Linked DNA regions of Saccharomyces cerevisiae S288C. The protein of the gene in region 4 purifies or fractionates together with the protein of the main gene of each other region. This does not show direct contact. Each region holds a gene or a part of one and is shown on either strand. Other genes may lie near its edges. The genes, in order: PRP42, PRO3, TDH2 and PGI1.

Evidence for each region.
Region 1: the proteins of PGI1 (region 4) and PRP42 purify together in Saccharomyces cerevisiae (affinity purification with mass spectrometry, with the first as the bait; one large-scale study listed by BioGRID). This does not show direct contact.
Region 2: the proteins of PGI1 (region 4) and PRO3 purify together in Saccharomyces cerevisiae (affinity purification with mass spectrometry, with the first as the bait; one large-scale study listed by BioGRID). This does not show direct contact.
Region 3: the proteins of PGI1 (region 4) and TDH2 purify together in Saccharomyces cerevisiae (affinity purification with mass spectrometry, with the first as the bait; one large-scale study listed by BioGRID). This does not show direct contact.

Annotation. Positions count from the first base shown.
Region 1 is NC_001136.10:931,694-936,369, reverse strand, and holds PRP42 (mRNA splicing protein PRP42), read right to left. Parts: upstream 2,867-4,676; coding exon 1,232-2,866; downstream 1-1,231. Other genes in the region: FMN1 (riboflavin kinase), read left to right, coding at 478-1,134; homoaconitate hydratase LYS4, read right to left, coding at 3,160-4,676. UniProt on the Saccharomyces cerevisiae protein: Essential component of the U1 snRNP particle, which recognizes and binds the 5'-splice site of pre-mRNA. Together with other non-snRNP factors, U1 snRNP forms the spliceosomal commitment complex, that targets pre-mRNA to the splicing pathway.
Region 2 is NC_001137.3:199,543-203,167, reverse strand, and holds PRO3 (pyrroline-5-carboxylate reductase), read right to left. Parts: upstream 2,093-3,625; coding exon 1,232-2,092; downstream 1-1,231. Other genes in the region: carnitine O-acetyltransferase YAT2, read right to left, coding at 1-976; SRB4 (Srb4p), read right to left, coding at 2,293-3,625.
Region 3 is NC_001142.9:452,452-456,220, forward strand, and holds TDH2 (glyceraldehyde-3-phosphate dehydrogenase (phosphorylating) TDH2), read right to left. Parts: upstream 2,231-3,769; coding exon 1,232-2,230; downstream 1-1,231. Other genes in the region: MHO1 (Mho1p), read left to right, coding at 1-995. UniProt on the Saccharomyces cerevisiae protein: Glyceraldehyde-3-phosphate dehydrogenase (GAPDH) involved in glycolysis and gluconeogenesis. Catalyzes the reaction of glyceraldehyde-3-phosphate to 1,3 bis-phosphoglycerate.
Region 4 is NC_001134.8:611,448-615,943, forward strand, and holds PGI1 (glucose-6-phosphate isomerase), read right to left. Parts: upstream 2,454-4,496; coding exon 789-2,453; downstream 1-788. Other genes in the region: MSI1 (Msi1p), read right to left, coding at 1-435; YBR196C-A (uncharacterized protein), read right to left, coding at 2,577-2,726; YBR196C-B (uncharacterized protein), read right to left, coding at 3,079-3,183; YBR197C (uncharacterized protein), read right to left, coding at 3,756-4,409. UniProt on the Saccharomyces cerevisiae protein: In the cytoplasm, catalyzes the conversion of glucose-6-phosphate to fructose-6-phosphate, the second step in glycolysis, and the reverse reaction during gluconeogenesis.

The DNA.
Region 1 (4,676 bases), on a different chromosome or scaffold from region 4:
TTGATGCGAAAATAGACAGTTTGCAAACAGCACAAAAGGAGCTCCGAAACAGCCTTTCTTCTTTTTCTAAATAGGTTATTAATGAAGAGTATGGGTAAGTCATTAAGGATTCACATTATGCAATCTTTCCCAGGGTCGGCACACCCACTTTCTAAAGAATCCGCACGCTTATGTTAGTTGGCAACGAATCACACTCAAGAGGTTTTACAATGAATACTGATCATGTGAAACATGATTAAGTTACTCTAATAGAGAATTGAATATCTTGATCACACTGCACTTCAGATGTTGCAATTGCGTTATAAGAGAGGATGTATTTGTAGTCCTTTATGCAGGAGGGTAATGCGTCAATTCAAATCGTTGCTTTAATACTCTGTCAGCATTGGTAACACTATTATTGGACGTACAAGACAATGTTCTAGAAAGTGGTAATTTGGACCCGTGAAGCGGTCACAGACACGTGTTGTTGAAGTGTTGATGTTTACGTGGACTATTTATGTTTCGTTATTGCTAGTGTTAGCAGGTACTTTCTTAATGAACCGAAATACGAATACAGATATAATTGATACTTTTAAACGAGAAGTCGATTTGCCAATACCTGCGCAACCAGGTCCACCATTCCCGCTTGTTACTGACTATTGTGACATTGTATGTGGATTTGGCCGCGGATCCGCCGAATTGGGTATTCCCACTGCCAATGTACCTATAAATCAGTTACCTAAAGGTATCAACGATTTGGATTTAGGGGTTTACTTTGGGTTTGCTCACATTAAAACTGTTGATGGTCAAGAACTATCGGTGGAAACAAGGCGGGATGGAAGAACTGTGGTTTATAATTACGGTCAATATTTAAGTGAAGCGAACGATGATTTGTCCGTACTTCCTATGGTACTTTCAGTTGGGAAAAATCCATTCTACGGAAATGATTTCAAAACCATGGAATTACATATTATACATGATTTTAAAAATGATTTTTATGGGGCCAGGGTCAAGTTCAATATTTTAGGTCATATCAGACCCGAATTGAACTACACTACTAAGGAAGCTCTGATCGAAGACATCAATATCGATATTAGGACTGCGCAGACTGTCCTTGCCACTCCACCGTATCAAGTATTCAAACAACAATTATAGAGATCTGCGGGAGTGATGAGGCTAGTAGTTTTTCTTAACGGTCATTAAGTATACATTTACATATTTATACCTTTTAATAAATGACAATGCCTTTTGGCTAAGGTTCTTCAGTAAACATTTCCTCTAATGTATCCATCTCCTCTGGGAAGTATGACTCACAGAATTCTGTTAAAGACGGCAAGACGCTCTGTGCAAATTTTTTGTCTATTTGGGGCCATATTTTTCTGACAATATATTGCCTCTTGTCCAAATATGACCTAGAAGTGTCGAAATAAATTAAACGGCAATAACAGTTCCAGAACATACCGTTCTGTAGGTAGTACTCCCAACCAAATTCTATTATCTTTTGAAATATGTTCTTTTCTACAAATTCTACGGTATCCTTCGAATAAAACTGTACTAAGTTATTCAATAAAATTTCTTGACCACTTTTTTTTTCTTTACAACTCAAACGTTTCCATACTTTATCAAACAGCTCCTTATTCAAAAGCCCGTTTGATTGTGAATCAGAATATCGACTGGAATACAGAGAATTCTGGCAGAACGTTTTGAACTGAAGATAGTCCCAAAATATCTCAAAATCATCAACGTTTTCAACATTGTCGGAATATGAGGACTCAATTTTTTCCAATAGATTTCGCAAAAGTACGTACTCATTTAACTTGCAAATAACTGAATACAGTAGTTTTATTATTTCGGTCTTCTTCAAAGAAAATTTAAGACCCATTAATAGAACGTTTTTTGCCCCCAAAAGGTCATTTTTTGAATTTATCAACCATTTACTGTATTTTATCCATACAAGATCATAATGGGCCAGAGGAAGTAAAGCTCTTTGAAAATTTAAATGTGTTAAAGAATCTGTTTGTAAGGTGATGGTATAATCCAAGTATTTTATCCATGTTTCTATTTCATCTGAAGAAACCAAGGTTTCTGGCGATGTATAATAGTTGATATAAATTTTTGATTCAAAAATGGAATAGATTTCAAGTACTTGATATTGTACAACCATGTACATTTCCTTCGTTATTTTCTTCAACTTTTTCTTTGCATCCTGCAGGTACGGTCCCTTTCTTCCACTGTAATTGATGTCTATCTTGAGTTTCTTCAATAATTCATCTTTACTTGTTAGTTGTGATAATTGCTTTAGGTCCATTATATCGTCTATGCGCTGTAACCATAATGCATAAAATTTCGAAAAAGAGTGTAAAGGAATTTCGAGTATCTTCCTCAAAACGTTCCAATATTTCTTAGAAGACGTACATCTTGAGCTAATTTGTTCCAGGTATAAATCCCAGAATTCCCCACTGAAAAAATGCAAACCAACATATTCTTCAGCTGTTTCATATTTTTTAAACAACTGCTTCTGGTGTGAGATAACGTTATTACAAAACTTTAAATATGAAGTCCATAATAGTAAAGATCTTTGGTTAAAGGCTTGCAATCCGCGCTGAAATATCTTATGAGACATAGAAACATTCCCTAGTTTGTATTCCAGTAGCGCGAAGTCGATATAGTAGTTTTCTAGATAGGGAAACTCATTCAGCATAGAAGAATAAGTACATCGTATTAACTTTAATAATTGAGGCTCAGTGGACTTGCATATTGGTGCCGAAGCCTTTACTATATAGTTCAGTAACTTCTCCCAATATGCCAAACTTTTAGGGTATCTCGAGACATTCAATGTAAGAGTTGAAAAATTCTCATCGTGAATCAAAGCAGTATATTTATCCATAGATGTTTGCTACTTCAGTTAATGGTCAGCTGGGTATTTTCTGAAACTCTTTCGAGCGCCTACTTGACTTTTTTATGTAGAAATTTACGTTGTTTTTCCCACGGGCTTTAGGTCAGACACTGGTTTTGGACGTCACAAGAGCATCTTTGAAATTTAATGAAAAGAAGTAGAAAAATTACAAATAAGAACTTGTGTATCAATAGATTAACAAAATATACGTGAATAACCGTAAATAAATAAATAAACTTAATAAATAAAGAAAAGGGTGCGATTTTTCTAGATATTTATGCACATTATAGTTGGGATTTGACCCAACCTTCCAAGCCTCCTTTTACAATAATTTCTTGTAGGTTCTTACCTAGCTCACCCACTTTTTGCTCCAAGATCACAGGGCCGTCCAAAGAACCTTCGGTAACGACCACTTTAGCATCAGCTACATCCCATTTCAAAAACCAACCAGTTCTTCTTGTAAGTTCTTTTGGAGCACCTTGATATTTCTCACGTAATTTTTTGATTAATGCTGGGATTTCCAAGGTCAGAAGAGCATTGTTAATGGAGTTTCTTGAAAAAATATTACCAAAAGATCCTGAAACAACTAAGTTGATACCTTTAGCCAATAAGGCGGTGGCCGCTTGTTCCCTGGAGGAACCGGTACCGAAATTGAACCCACTGACCACTATATCACCTGGATGAACCTTGGTTCTGAACTCGGCATCATAATTTTCCATACAAACTTGCGCCATCTTTTCTTTAGGCACATCATCCTGATAAGTGTACTTACCAGGATATATACCATCGGTATTGATGTTATCGGCATCACATAAAACTAATTCACCAGAAAACTCTCTTGGGAAACCTTCTAATATCTCAACGGATTGTTTTGGAGCCTCTGTTTGAGCGTTAACTTCCTCTTCAACCACGGGATTCTCAATTATCTCAGTCTTAACGCCGCTGAATGGAATTTCGCTTGTGGACAATACCTCAGCAGGAGAACTAATCTTACCCAGCACGGCAGAAGCGGCGACTACAGCAGGGGAAGCTAAGTAAGCCAATGCATCCTTGGAACCCATTCTACCTTTGAAGTTTCTGTTTGTGGCACTGATACCAACTTCACCTGGTTCCAGTAATCCCGCACCTAGACCGATGCATGGACCACAACCAGAAGGCAGTGGGATACAGCCAGCCTTTAGCAGCTTTTCCCAAGCGCCTGATTTACGGGCATCAGCCTCAATTTCTGAAGAGGCAGCAGCGACATAGAACTCCACACCTGGAGCCACCTTGTTGACTTTGTTTAAGTCTCCAGTAGGACAAACCACATCCGCTGCAGATTGCAAATCAGATAGACGGGAGTTTGTACATGACACTAGATAAGCTTTATTTATCTTGATGTCTTGTTGAGATAGATCTTGCACGGTGTTGGAGACCTTAACACTATTTGGACCTGAGACGTAGTGAGTTAGCGTGGCTAGATCGATGATCAGTTTCTTGGCATAATGTGCATCCTTGTCTGCTTTCGGAATCTTCGCCTTTTCTTCTAGTGCGCGGATAGTCTTTGGATTAATCCTTGGATGATTATTGGTGCCCAGCTTTTGCAAACGGTTTTTATACCAGTCGATCAAAGTTTTGTCCACGGGGAACAAACCAGAAAGAGCCCCCCACTCGGTGGTCATGTTAGCAATAGTGAGTCTGTGATCGATAGGCAATGCATTCAAAGAGTCACCCGTGAATTCAATGGCGTGATTTAGAACTTGATCATTGTTGAAAAGCCCACATAATGCGACAATGATATCTTTTCCGGAAACACCCTGAG
Region 2 (3,625 bases), on a different chromosome or scaffold from region 4:
ATTCATTAGGATACCTTTTCTGTAGTCTCTTCCTTGCATATTTCCAGTTTCTAAAAGAGTGAGAGGTCAAACTACCTAACGCAGTTGATTTTTCAATGCCAGAAGAATCTTTTATTATATGGTTGAAAATTGTGGTTAATTCTGCAGCAGTGTATATAATTTTATTCGTCGAATCAAGTACTTCCAGTGTATAGTATTGGCCCCTGGAGATGATCAAGATGTGTTTGCTATCCGGATGTCTTTTTATAGTTATACCATTGCCAGTGAATATGTCTTCTTCGTGTTTTCTTTTACGGTCATCAAAGTCTTTTTGGGTGGGTTCGTCGTTATCGTCCTCATCGCTTGAATAATCAGGGTCTTCTAAATCAGATGCTGTGTAAGGTTTGTTCAAATCAAAATTTTCAACCTCACCGCGCTGAAAAACAGGACTACGAGTAGTACCGAACAAGTTCAGAAATGGAGCCATTGACAGTGGTTTGCCATTGGTGGCATTGATATCTGGTGGCAACAAATCTTGTTTCAAAGCAGAAATAAACCTGGCCGCAGAGTGCACTAGGACGGCTGACCTATCAGCTTGAGTGATGTTTGGCAAAGCGTCATCTGCGAGAACCAAGAAGGGATTCCTGGGTAGGACATCGTCCTGAATCTCCCTAGTGGAGGTCTGGTTATTGATGTCTAAGTGTAATTCATCAAGGTAGCAATCCCTAGTGTCATGGTAGCTCTGTAGTTTAGATTGCAGCTTCTCACTTACGGGATTCTCTTCAAAATCTCTTATTATGGATGACAGCTTCTCAATTTGTTCTGGATCTAAAGGATGTTGATAGTAACCATCAGCATAATACAATGGCTCTAAACTCTCCTTCAGACGCTGCAAAGTGTCACAGAGTTTAGGTAATGGTAACTTGGGTAGTTCTTCCTCATGCTTAAATGTTCGCCCCGACTTGTCAGACGAAACAATAGTACTGCCGCTTGACATGGTTGCTTAGTTTTATTTTAATTTTGATTTTTGATTTTCATTTCAAATGAATCAATTGCTCTTACTCATTACAAACACATTTATATAATTTTTTTCTTTTATACGCTCCAATTAGTGTCATTATTATGGGGTAGTCATTCATCGTGATGATTCATTATCGGACCGACGGGAAAATGACGAAAAAATGCAAGGTCAGTAATAAAAAAATAATATACGGCTACAAAGCGAACATACATACATTTCACGCAAAGCAATCTATTTCTTCTTTTGGCCTAATTGTGACGCAACACGGGCTGCCTCTTCAACACCATTGATAATACCGCTCTTGACGCCCTTTTCTTCCATTACGCACAACCCGGCAATAGTTGTACCACCTGGTGTGCAAACTTGATGCTTTAAAACGGATGGATGAGCACCGCTTTTCTCAACCATCTTCACTGTTCCTTCTAGAACTTTCATGGCACACTCCTTACTCTCTTGTAATGGGATTCCCAATTTCAACCCACTCTCCATCAAGGATTCTAACATCAAGAGAACAAAAGCGGGGCCTGAACCGACTAAAGCCGTAGCAGCATCCATGTTCTTTTCTGGAAGCTCAACGTATTTACCAACTTGGCTAATCAATTCGTTGACCAGTGGCTTTTGCTCTTTGGAAACATCAGCTGAGTAGGACACCACCGCACAACCATATCCGTACTTGGCAGGTGTGTTCGTCATAACACGGCAAACAGTGCTAGTGTATTGACTCAATTGGTCAATTGTCCAGCCAGCAGCCAGGGAAATAAGTAGCTTTCCCCCAATGACGCTCTTCACACCATTCAACACTTCTTCGGCCAAAAATGGCTTGGTACCAAGAAGAACTACAGAAGCTTCTTCGACAGCGCTCACGTTGTGACCGTAAGTGCTTTCGACTTTAATACCGTTAGGAGATTCGTCGAATGTCTCAACTAGATCGGTAACTTGTTGTGCACTAGGTTCATCATGGTTACATGTGATAATTTTGGAAGGGTAAAATGCAGCAGCAGTTTCATCAGCCGCCTTTGGAGCATTATAAATGGCGGAAAGAAGTGCTTGGCCCATAACACCGCAGCCTAAAATTGCCAATGTGTAAGTCATATCTGTAGTTGGTTTGTTTGCTATTGGTGTTGTGTTACTTCTATTGTTGTTACACCGTTCTTAACCTGGCAATGTTATTAAATCCTTCATATTCTTGTTTTCGAAGATAAGATCTTGTCCTTTTGTACGTATGCGACTTTATATAGTAATAAATGGCATTCTATGGCAATGTATGTAGGTTTAAGGAGTGACTCAGGATATTACACCTTCTTTTGCTGGATGTACTCAGCGACAATAAAATGTAGGAAGTCCTCTACTTCTTTAAAATCAGAAAATGTTGTGTCAAAGGACACTGCGTTGGCTTCCGTACCAGCTGAAAACTTGATGTGAATGAGTGCGTTACAATAGTTAGGACTTTCGAGCATTAAACTTAGATTAGGGCTTTTGTGCTCAGTTAATGGTAGATTTATTTTGAGTTCACGTCTAGGTATATTCAATAGTTTATCGAAGGCACGGATCTCTTTATTTAATTTAGTTATATTTTCATCATCAATGTTTTTATTTTCTTGAGGTTGTTCTCTCTCAACTTCCGTTTCTGTTATACTTGAGCCAGGAACTATATCGAGCACGTAATCCTTTATGATTTTTTTTAGTAACAGTTTGTAATTAGCAAACCGAACTTTACCAAGAATGGGACGTATTATTAAGATATCATCGTCAACATTCAAATTGATCAGTCCGTGGGGTGAGCTTATTCTCGATCGTAATGTTTTCTTGAATATAACGACTAATAATAGTCTCAACATAACAAGCATTAAATTTGCTCTCTTGTCGTTGATTTTTGGTAAGTCTTGTTCATGATTGACAATGGAGTCATCGTCAAGGGACAACAACTCGATTTCAAATTTTTCGTTAGGTAGTTCAATTATTACCTTGTTTTCGTTTTCAATACTGACACCATAGGAAATCAACAAAGCGCATTCTTTCTTTATTTGGTACATCAGTTCTTTTTCAAAAATGATCTTTTTCAAAAGTTGGATTTGCTTTCTGATATCTTTCGTTTCAGCTTCTTCACTTTCACTATCCCTATCCATCACACTTTCGCCACTCAATATGTAATCATCTTCTGATTCGATTTTTGTGAAGATACGAACCCTTAAGAATTTCTTTACTGAATGTACGAAATCAGTGCCTTTGAACACTGAACTACTGTGGGGTATCAAATCCAAATTTTGTGATTCTATATTATTCCTTATATTAGCAATACCTCTGTCATGCTTATAGGTAGATCCAGAGTCTTCGTAACCATACTTAATTGCCAACAGCTTTTGACCACTAGTCCTGTCCCTAATCTTAAAAATAACATCCTTGTTGCTAATACTCTGCATTATCTTATTCCAATAGTCATGTTCGTTCTGTAATATGGAACTCAGTTTATTAAAACTTGCGCGTAGGAGATCTTTAGATTCGTTTAAACTTTGTAACTTCCATCCCTTATTCAATATATCCAACTCGATATATTCTTTTTTTGTAGGTGCAACATATGGAATTTTATCACTGTTTAAACTAGAAGGTTTAACAACTTTCCTAAGA
Region 3 (3,769 bases), on a different chromosome or scaffold from region 4:
ATGCAGGCTCATGGTATTCCAATAGAGCCCAAGAATTATCTCAACAACTGCATACATACTTGATCAAAAGTACCCTTAAAGGCCCAATTCACAACGCCAGAATTATCATATGTCCTCATGCCGGTTACAGGTATTGTGGACCCACTATGGCCTACTCGTACGCATCGTTGGATTTGAACCGTAATGTTAAGAGAATATTTATCTTGGGGCCGTCGCATCACATCTATTTCAAAAACCAAATATTAGTTAGTGCATTCAGTGAGCTAGAGACGCCCTTGGGTAATCTGAAAGTGGATACAGACTTGTGTAAAACATTAATACAGAAGGAGTATCCTGAGAACGGAAAGAAGCTGTTTAAGCCAATGGATCATGACACTGATATGGCTGAACATTCCTTAGAGATGCAGCTCCCCATGTTGGTGGAAACTTTGAAATGGAGAGAAATTTCTTTAGATACGGTGAAGGTATTTCCTATGATGGTTTCTCATAACAGCGTTGATGTTGATCGTTGCATTGGTAATATCTTGTCGGAGTACATTAAGGATCCGAACAATTTATTCATTGTAAGCAGTGATTTCTGTCATTGGGGCCGCAGATTCCAATATACTGGGTACGTCGGAAGCAAGGAAGAGTTGAATGATGCCATTCAAGAGGAAACAGAAGTGGAAATGTTAACTGCTAGGAGTAAACTTTCACATCATCAAGTTCCCATTTGGCAATCCATTGAAATAATGGACAGATATGCGATGAAAACGCTAAGTGATACTCCAAATGGTGAAAGGTACGATGCTTGGAAACAATACTTGGAAATCACCGGAAACACCATATGCGGCGAAAAGCCAATTAGTGTGATACTAAGTGCTTTATCGAAAATCCGTGATGCCGGTCCTTCAGGCATCAAATTTCAGTGGCCTAATTATTCACAGAGTTCTCATGTGACAAGTATTGATGATAGTAGTGTCAGTTATGCTTCAGGTTATGTTACTATAGGATAATGATCACGGCTAAAACGGTCGAATGTAAGCATATATCTTTCGATTGTATAATTGTTCCCAAATACTACAGCATCTCAAGGAAAAAAAAACAAAAACTTCCAAAAAAATCGAATCCCTGAGGAATCTTTAATACATTTTCAATCTATTTAAGTTTTATAAACGTGTATATGAGATGTCATGAGCATGAATTATTAATAATAAAAACTAAATCATTAAAGTAACTTAAGGAGTTAAATTTAAGCCTTGGCAACGTGTTCAACCAAGTCGACAACTCTGGTAGAGTAACCGTATTCGTTGTCGTACCAGGAAACCAACTTGACGAACTTTGGAGACAATTGGATACCAGCGGCAGCATCGAAGATGGAAGAGTTAGAGTCACCCAAGAAGTCAGAGGAGACAACAGCGTCTTCAGTGTAACCCAAGACACCCTTCAACTTACCTTCAGCGGCAGCCTTGACAACCTTCTTGATTTCATCGTAGGTGGTTTCCTTGTTCAACTTGACAGTCAAGTCAACAACGGAAACATCGACGGTTGGGACTCTGAAAGCCATACCGGTCAACTTACCTTGCAATTCTGGCAAGACCTTACCGACAGCCTTAGCAGCACCGGTAGAGGATGGGATGATGTTACCGGAAGCGGTTCTACCACCTCTCCAGTCCTTGTGGGATGGACCGTCAACAGTCTTTTGGGTGGCGGTCATGGAGTGAACAGTGGTCATCAAACCTTCTTCAATACCGAAAGCATCGTTGATAACCTTGGCCAATGGAGCCAAACAGTTGGTGGTACAAGAAGCGTTGGAAACAATCTTCAAGTCAGAAGTGTATTTTTCTTCGTTAACACCCATGACGAACATTGGGGCGGTGGAAGATGGAGCAGTGATGACAACCTTCTTGGCACCAGCGTCAATGTGCTTTTGAGCAGTGTCCAATTCCTTGAAAACACCAGTGGAGTCAATGGCGATGTCAATGTTTAGAGAAGCCCATGGCAAGTTAGCTGGGTCTCTTTCTTGGAAAGTGGCGATCTTGTGACCATCAACGATGATGTGCTTGTCATCGTGGGAAACTTCACCAGCGTATCTACCGTGAGTAGAGTCGTACTTGAACATGTAAGCGGAGTAGTCGTTAGAGATGAAAGGATCGTTCAAAGCAACAACTTCGACGTTCTTTCTTTGCAAAGCAATTCTCATAACCAATCTACCGATTCTACCGAAACCGTTAATAGCAACTCTAACCATTTTGTTTTGTTTGTTTGTGTGATGAATTTAATTTGAAACTAAGTTCTTGGTTTTTTTAACATTTAAACAAACAATAATAAAATGAATAGACACACAAGAAAAAAACTATCTTGAATGAGTGCAACCTTTATATATTCTTCCAAACCTACAAAAAAATTGCAGGTCTGCGATCACTGGGTACTATCAAAACACATATTAGCATACGTATGTGTTCGTACGTGCGGTCCGCAAGGTCTTTGTGACAGCCATGACATGATTGGATTGAATAGTTCACTTCAGCTGTCACCACCAGTTTTAGGCCCTAACACATCAGTCGAGTTCCACTAGGCTTTGTTAGCCGTAGCTGCGTTGCAACAACTGCGCAAAACGCGCGACTTCCTGTAAATGCCGCAGATCACGTGGTAAAGAAAAGAAACAACAGGCCGACCCAGTTTCGTTGTTTCTTTTCATTATTTCTGGATGCTCTTCACAACGTATTTCATGACATACTTATTGAATTAGTGGAAGCCCAAAACATCATTACCCTGGAAAACTTAATTGACGTAAATTAACTTCAGTTGTCTTATGTTTTTTGCATCCTTAACTTTAGCCGCGCAGGGATAATCATATATGTCGAAAGAGCAACTAAACAATACTTAAAAACGTGTTTGAACTTTTACGAAAGGGTAACGACAAATAATCATTCACTGGAAAAACCAATAAACCATAAGTAAATGAAAAACTGTTTCAACCGATGTTGGTACTTTCCATGTCTTAAAAGAGTACAATTTATAAATTAATGAAAACACAGAAGTATTTAGATCGGCTCAAATGTTTTTGGACATTAAAAGATCTTGAAACTGAGTAAGATGCTCAGAATACCCGTCAAGATAAGAGTATAATGTAGAGTAATATACCAAGTATTCAGCATATTCTCCTCTTCTTTTGTATAAATCACGGAAGGGATGATTTATAAGAAAAATGAATACTATTACACTTCATTTACCACCCTCTGATCTAGATTTTCCAACGATATGTACGTAGTGGTATAAGGTGAGGGGGTCCACAGATATAACATCGTTTAATTTAGTACTAACAGAGACTTTTGTCACAACTACATATAAGTGTACAAATATAGTACAGATATGACACACTTGTAGCGCCAACGCGCATCCTACGGATTGCTGACAGAAAAAAAGGTCACGTGACCAGAAAAGTCACGTGTAATTTTGTAACTCACCGCATTCTAGCGGTCCCTGTCGTGCACACTGCACTCAACACCATAAACCTTAGCAACCTCCAAAGGAAATCACCGTATAACAAAGCCACAGTTTTACAACTTAGTCTCTTATGAAGTTACTTACCAATGAGAAATAGAGGCTCTTTCTCGAGAAATATGAATATGGATATATATATATATATATATATATATATATATATATATGTAAACTTGGTTCTTTTTTAGCTTGTGATCTCTAGCTTGGGTCTCTCTCTGTCGTAACAGTTGTGATATCGTTTCTTAACAATTGAAAAGGAACTAAGAAAGTATAATAATAACAA
Region 4 (4,496 bases):
TATAATATCTGGATTTTGAGGCAAATATCTTGCCCTATTGCATTCCCCGTTTGGGAAGAAAATACTGATGTCATTTACTAAGTGTTTGGAGGGAAACCTTGTCGAGTTCTCCGGTTTGAATTCCATTTCGTCCATGTCGAAATTATTTAAAGATGACCATTTTATATGACCCAACGTGGATATTTTGCTAATATATATGGTCTCATCTTCAGGTTTTTGGGAAGATGTAAATGAGGATAACAAGATGCGATGCTCATCCGAAGTGGTATCTAAATCAGGAAAGAACTGGCACGTTAAGGACGGCCACTTTGTTGAATTCGTGTTTAGGTAATCATAAAGTAGTTTAGTGTTTTTCTTCCAGTGCGAGTATCTTTCTTGCAAATCGATGGGTATACTGGAGGCTTCATGAGTTATGTCCTTCGCGCACTGATTCATCTTTGAAACTAAATTTGTATATTGTTTGTCAGAAATAGGACCTGATATCCTCCTTTTAAACAGTTGATGAGAACCTTTTTCGCAAGTTCAAGGTGCTCTAATTTTTAAAATTTTTACTTTTCGCGACACAATAAAGTCTTCACGACGCTAAACTATTAGTGCACATAATGTAGTTACTTGGACGCTGTTCAATAATGTATAAAATTTATTTCCTTTGCATTACGTACATTATATAACCAAATCTTAAAAATATAGAAATATGATATGTGTATAATAATATAAGCAAAATTTACGTATCTTTGCTTATAATATAGCTTTAATGTTCTTTAGGTATATATTTAAGAGCGATTTGTTCACATCCATTCCTTGAATTGATTGATTAAACCGTTGGTAGAAGCATCGTGGGTAGAAATGGTGGAGGAGTTGTCCAATTCCTTGCCGATGACTTTAGCCAAGACTTTACCCAATTCAACACCCCATTGGTCGAAAGAGTTGATATTCCAAATGGCACCTTCAGTGAAAGTAACATGTTCGTAGTAGGCAATCAAAGCACCCAAAGTAGCTGGAGTAATCTTTTGAGCCAAGATAGAGGTAGTTGGTCTGTTACCTGAGAAGACCTTGTGTGGGACCAAACCACCAGTGGCACCTTCAGCCTTAACTTGTTCTTCATCCTTACCAACCATTAAAGCTTCAGCTTGAGCAAAGAAGTTTGAAGCCAACATCTTTTGATGTAATTTGTTCTCAATTGGGTTATGAGATTGAGCAGCTAAGATGAAATCAGATGGAATCAACTTGGTACCTTGGTGAACCAATTGGAAGAAAGAGTGTTGAGCGTTGGTAGCTGGTTCACCAAACAAGATAGAACCAGTAGAGTAGTCAGTAAACACGTTACCTCTGGTAACAGACTTACCGTTAGATTCCATTGACAATTGTTGCAAGTAGGCTGGGAATCTGTGCAAGTATTGGTCGAATGGAGCAACCAAATGGGTTTGAGCACCAAAGAAGTTGTTGTACCAGACAGACAACAAACCACCCAACAATGGAATGTTGTCTTCCAATGGGGTTTGGGTGAAGTGGTTGTCGACGGCTTCAGCACCCTTCAAGAAAGCCTCAAAGTTGTCATAGCCAATGTACAAGGCAACAGACAAACCAATAGCCGACCAGACAGAGTAACGACCACCGACCCAACTTTCGAAACCAAACATGTTTTTGGTGTCAATACCGAACTTGGCAACTTCGGTTTCGTTAGTGGACAAAGCAGCGAAATGCTTAGCAATGTGAGATGGATCATTACCTGTCTTCGACAAGAACCAGTTCTTGGCAGTGTTAGCGTTAGTGATAGTTTCAGCGGTAGTGAAAGTCTTGGAAGCAATCAAAAACAAAGTAGTTTCTGGGTCAACAACCTTCAAGGTTTCAGCAATGTGAGTACCGTCAATGTTGGAAACGAAGTGGACATCCAAGACACCAGCGTAGTGCTTCAAAGCCTCAGTGACCATGACTGGACCCAAATCGGAACCACCAATACCGATGTTAACAACATCGGTGATCTTCTTACCGGTATAACCCTTCCATTCACCAGAACGAACTTGTTCAGAGAACTCCTTCATGTGCTTCAAGACAGAGTCGACTTCTGGAGCAACGTTGACACCATCAACGTACATTGGCTTGTTAGCTCTGTTTCTCAATGCGACGTGGTAGACAGCACGATCTTCAGTGGAGTTGATGTGTTCACCTTTGAACATAGCATCTCTCAAACCGGTGACGTTAGCCTCCTTGGCCAGTTCAATCAATGCAGCAATGATTTCATCGTTGACCAAGTTCTTTGAGTAGTCGAACAAGATTTTGGAACCATCATAGTTGGTGAAAGTCTTGTTCAATTTTTCAAAACGCTTGGCATCTTTTTGGAATTCTTGCTTGACAGACAAAGTCTTACCTTGAGATTCATAAATTTTTTGCAACTTAGACCAGGCTGGCAATTCAGTGGCCAGTTTGAAGTTAGTGAATGAGTTATTGGACATTTTTAGGCTGGTATCTTGATTCTAAATCGATTTTGCAAGACTAGAGGAATATGTATTAAAATTCACTGAATGCAAGTAAAATATTAAGTAAAAGAAAGCATTGATTATGAAGAAAGGACCTTTTTAAGATATGAGAACAATGAGAAAAGGAAAAATGGGACGAAACAAATAGGGAAAATTCCGTCTGTAAAACCAATTGTAGTAACAAAAAACGCTCATTTCAATAGCAAAAAAATAGAATACCGTCAATGGATATATATAGACACGGGACATTATAACAACGTGCAGATGGTGATGATTGCAAACCCAAAAAATTACCAGCTTCCTGTAATTCCAGGTTGAGCGCGTGGCTTCCTATAATCCAATACACCCACACCCACCCAGATCGTGATTTTTGTTACCATCCCGGTTCTTGCCTCATTGACATATTTTTCTGACGGTGACAGAACGTGGCCTTGTACACTCTTTTTTAATGTTACGCTGGCACAACATAGTTCAACGAAAAACGAATTAAGTTCTTACTTCCGTGTTTTAATCAGAAAACGATATTCCAATGAGAGATATAAGCGTAAGGTAGCATGTCCGATGGCAAAATTCTCTTTGCTTCCGCAGCGGGGCCAAAGTCTTACTCGCCTCTAACCCCACGTAGGACAAGTGCTGAGAATAAAATAGTCTTGGCGTAGTATGCCTTCTTCAGTAATATTTTTTCTTTTGAAAGTACTACCCACATCCGAACATTGCCACTTACATAGCGATGCAAATAGCCGCCAGGAAATGCCGCATGTTATCCACTAAGAATAGTCAACATTGCATAGCATCCAAATACGTGAAAGCGGACCGATCTTGAGCGAAATGTTTAGTACCGTTGATGTGTAGAAGTAGTGCCCTGAAATACATAGCGGTGTATTATTTAGCATTAACATACAAAAAAAAAATAACGGAGGCACCAATGGAAGTGGTGTCGCTACATTAGTTTTTAACTCAGTCAGAAAACTGAATTTAGTTGATATGGGACCGCTCCAAGGTAGGAGAATACTAGATCAAGTAAAGCAACCGCACTAGTGCCTTTTTCAAACAAGGTGGTTTGATGAGGAGGCTTTCTACAATCCTAGAAATATAAGACATCTGTCAGATTAGCCGCCGTTCATATGGTTTCAAAAGGTTGCGAATGGAGACAAACGTTCCTCGTCCCAAATTAGCCAGACGGAACAGGACAATAAAGGTGATAATGTAATCCATGACTTCCTCTATTTTAGACGGGACTTTTAGCATCCTCTAAATATTTTCAACCCATACATGTCATCAGCATCGGTGAACATCTTTAATAGTATCGACAACTTGGCTCACGTACTTCTCACCGTCAAGTGCGATTTCCGGGTCATGCAATACCTCGTCTGGTTCTTGATCTTTATTCGTGGCAGAATTATGCTGATCCTTATGAGGAGGGCTCCTCAGCTTGGCATACTTTAGTCGCTGATTTCTTTCCCTCATTAATCGCAGTAGTTGAGCGTGCGACTTGCGCATTTGCGTGAGATTGCTCTCAAAATCTCGTGGGAACCCGTCGTTGACGATAGGTTCTTTCGCCATCTTCTTCACATCATCCAGTGTATCGATTTCAGACCATGATACGTCTTGCGTCTCCGTAGGTGCCAGGTTTGAGTGCATTGTTATACGGCTACCATTTACGCTTCTTTCGTATGCAGTATTACCCCTACTAATGCTGGTCGTTAAGGGGTTTAGTGCTGGAGGCGTGGTTAGGTTTTTGGTCGGAAGTGCGTTGGAACTGCCCATTATAGAGGCAGTGGAATCTGAAGATCCCTTTCTTTTATCTTTGTCGCTCTTTGCCTTTAATTGAACCAGCTGAGGGTTTCCTTCCTGGCTACTAGATTTCCTTCTGTTGGTGGAATCCGCGTCGCTTACTTTCACCTGGACTGGTGGGGTTTGCTTCACTCCCATTATTTGTCTTCGTTCGTGCCAGCAACATACATTTCATCTTATTTCTCTGGAAGGTTTTTACAACAACCAGTTACATTTTTCATTTTT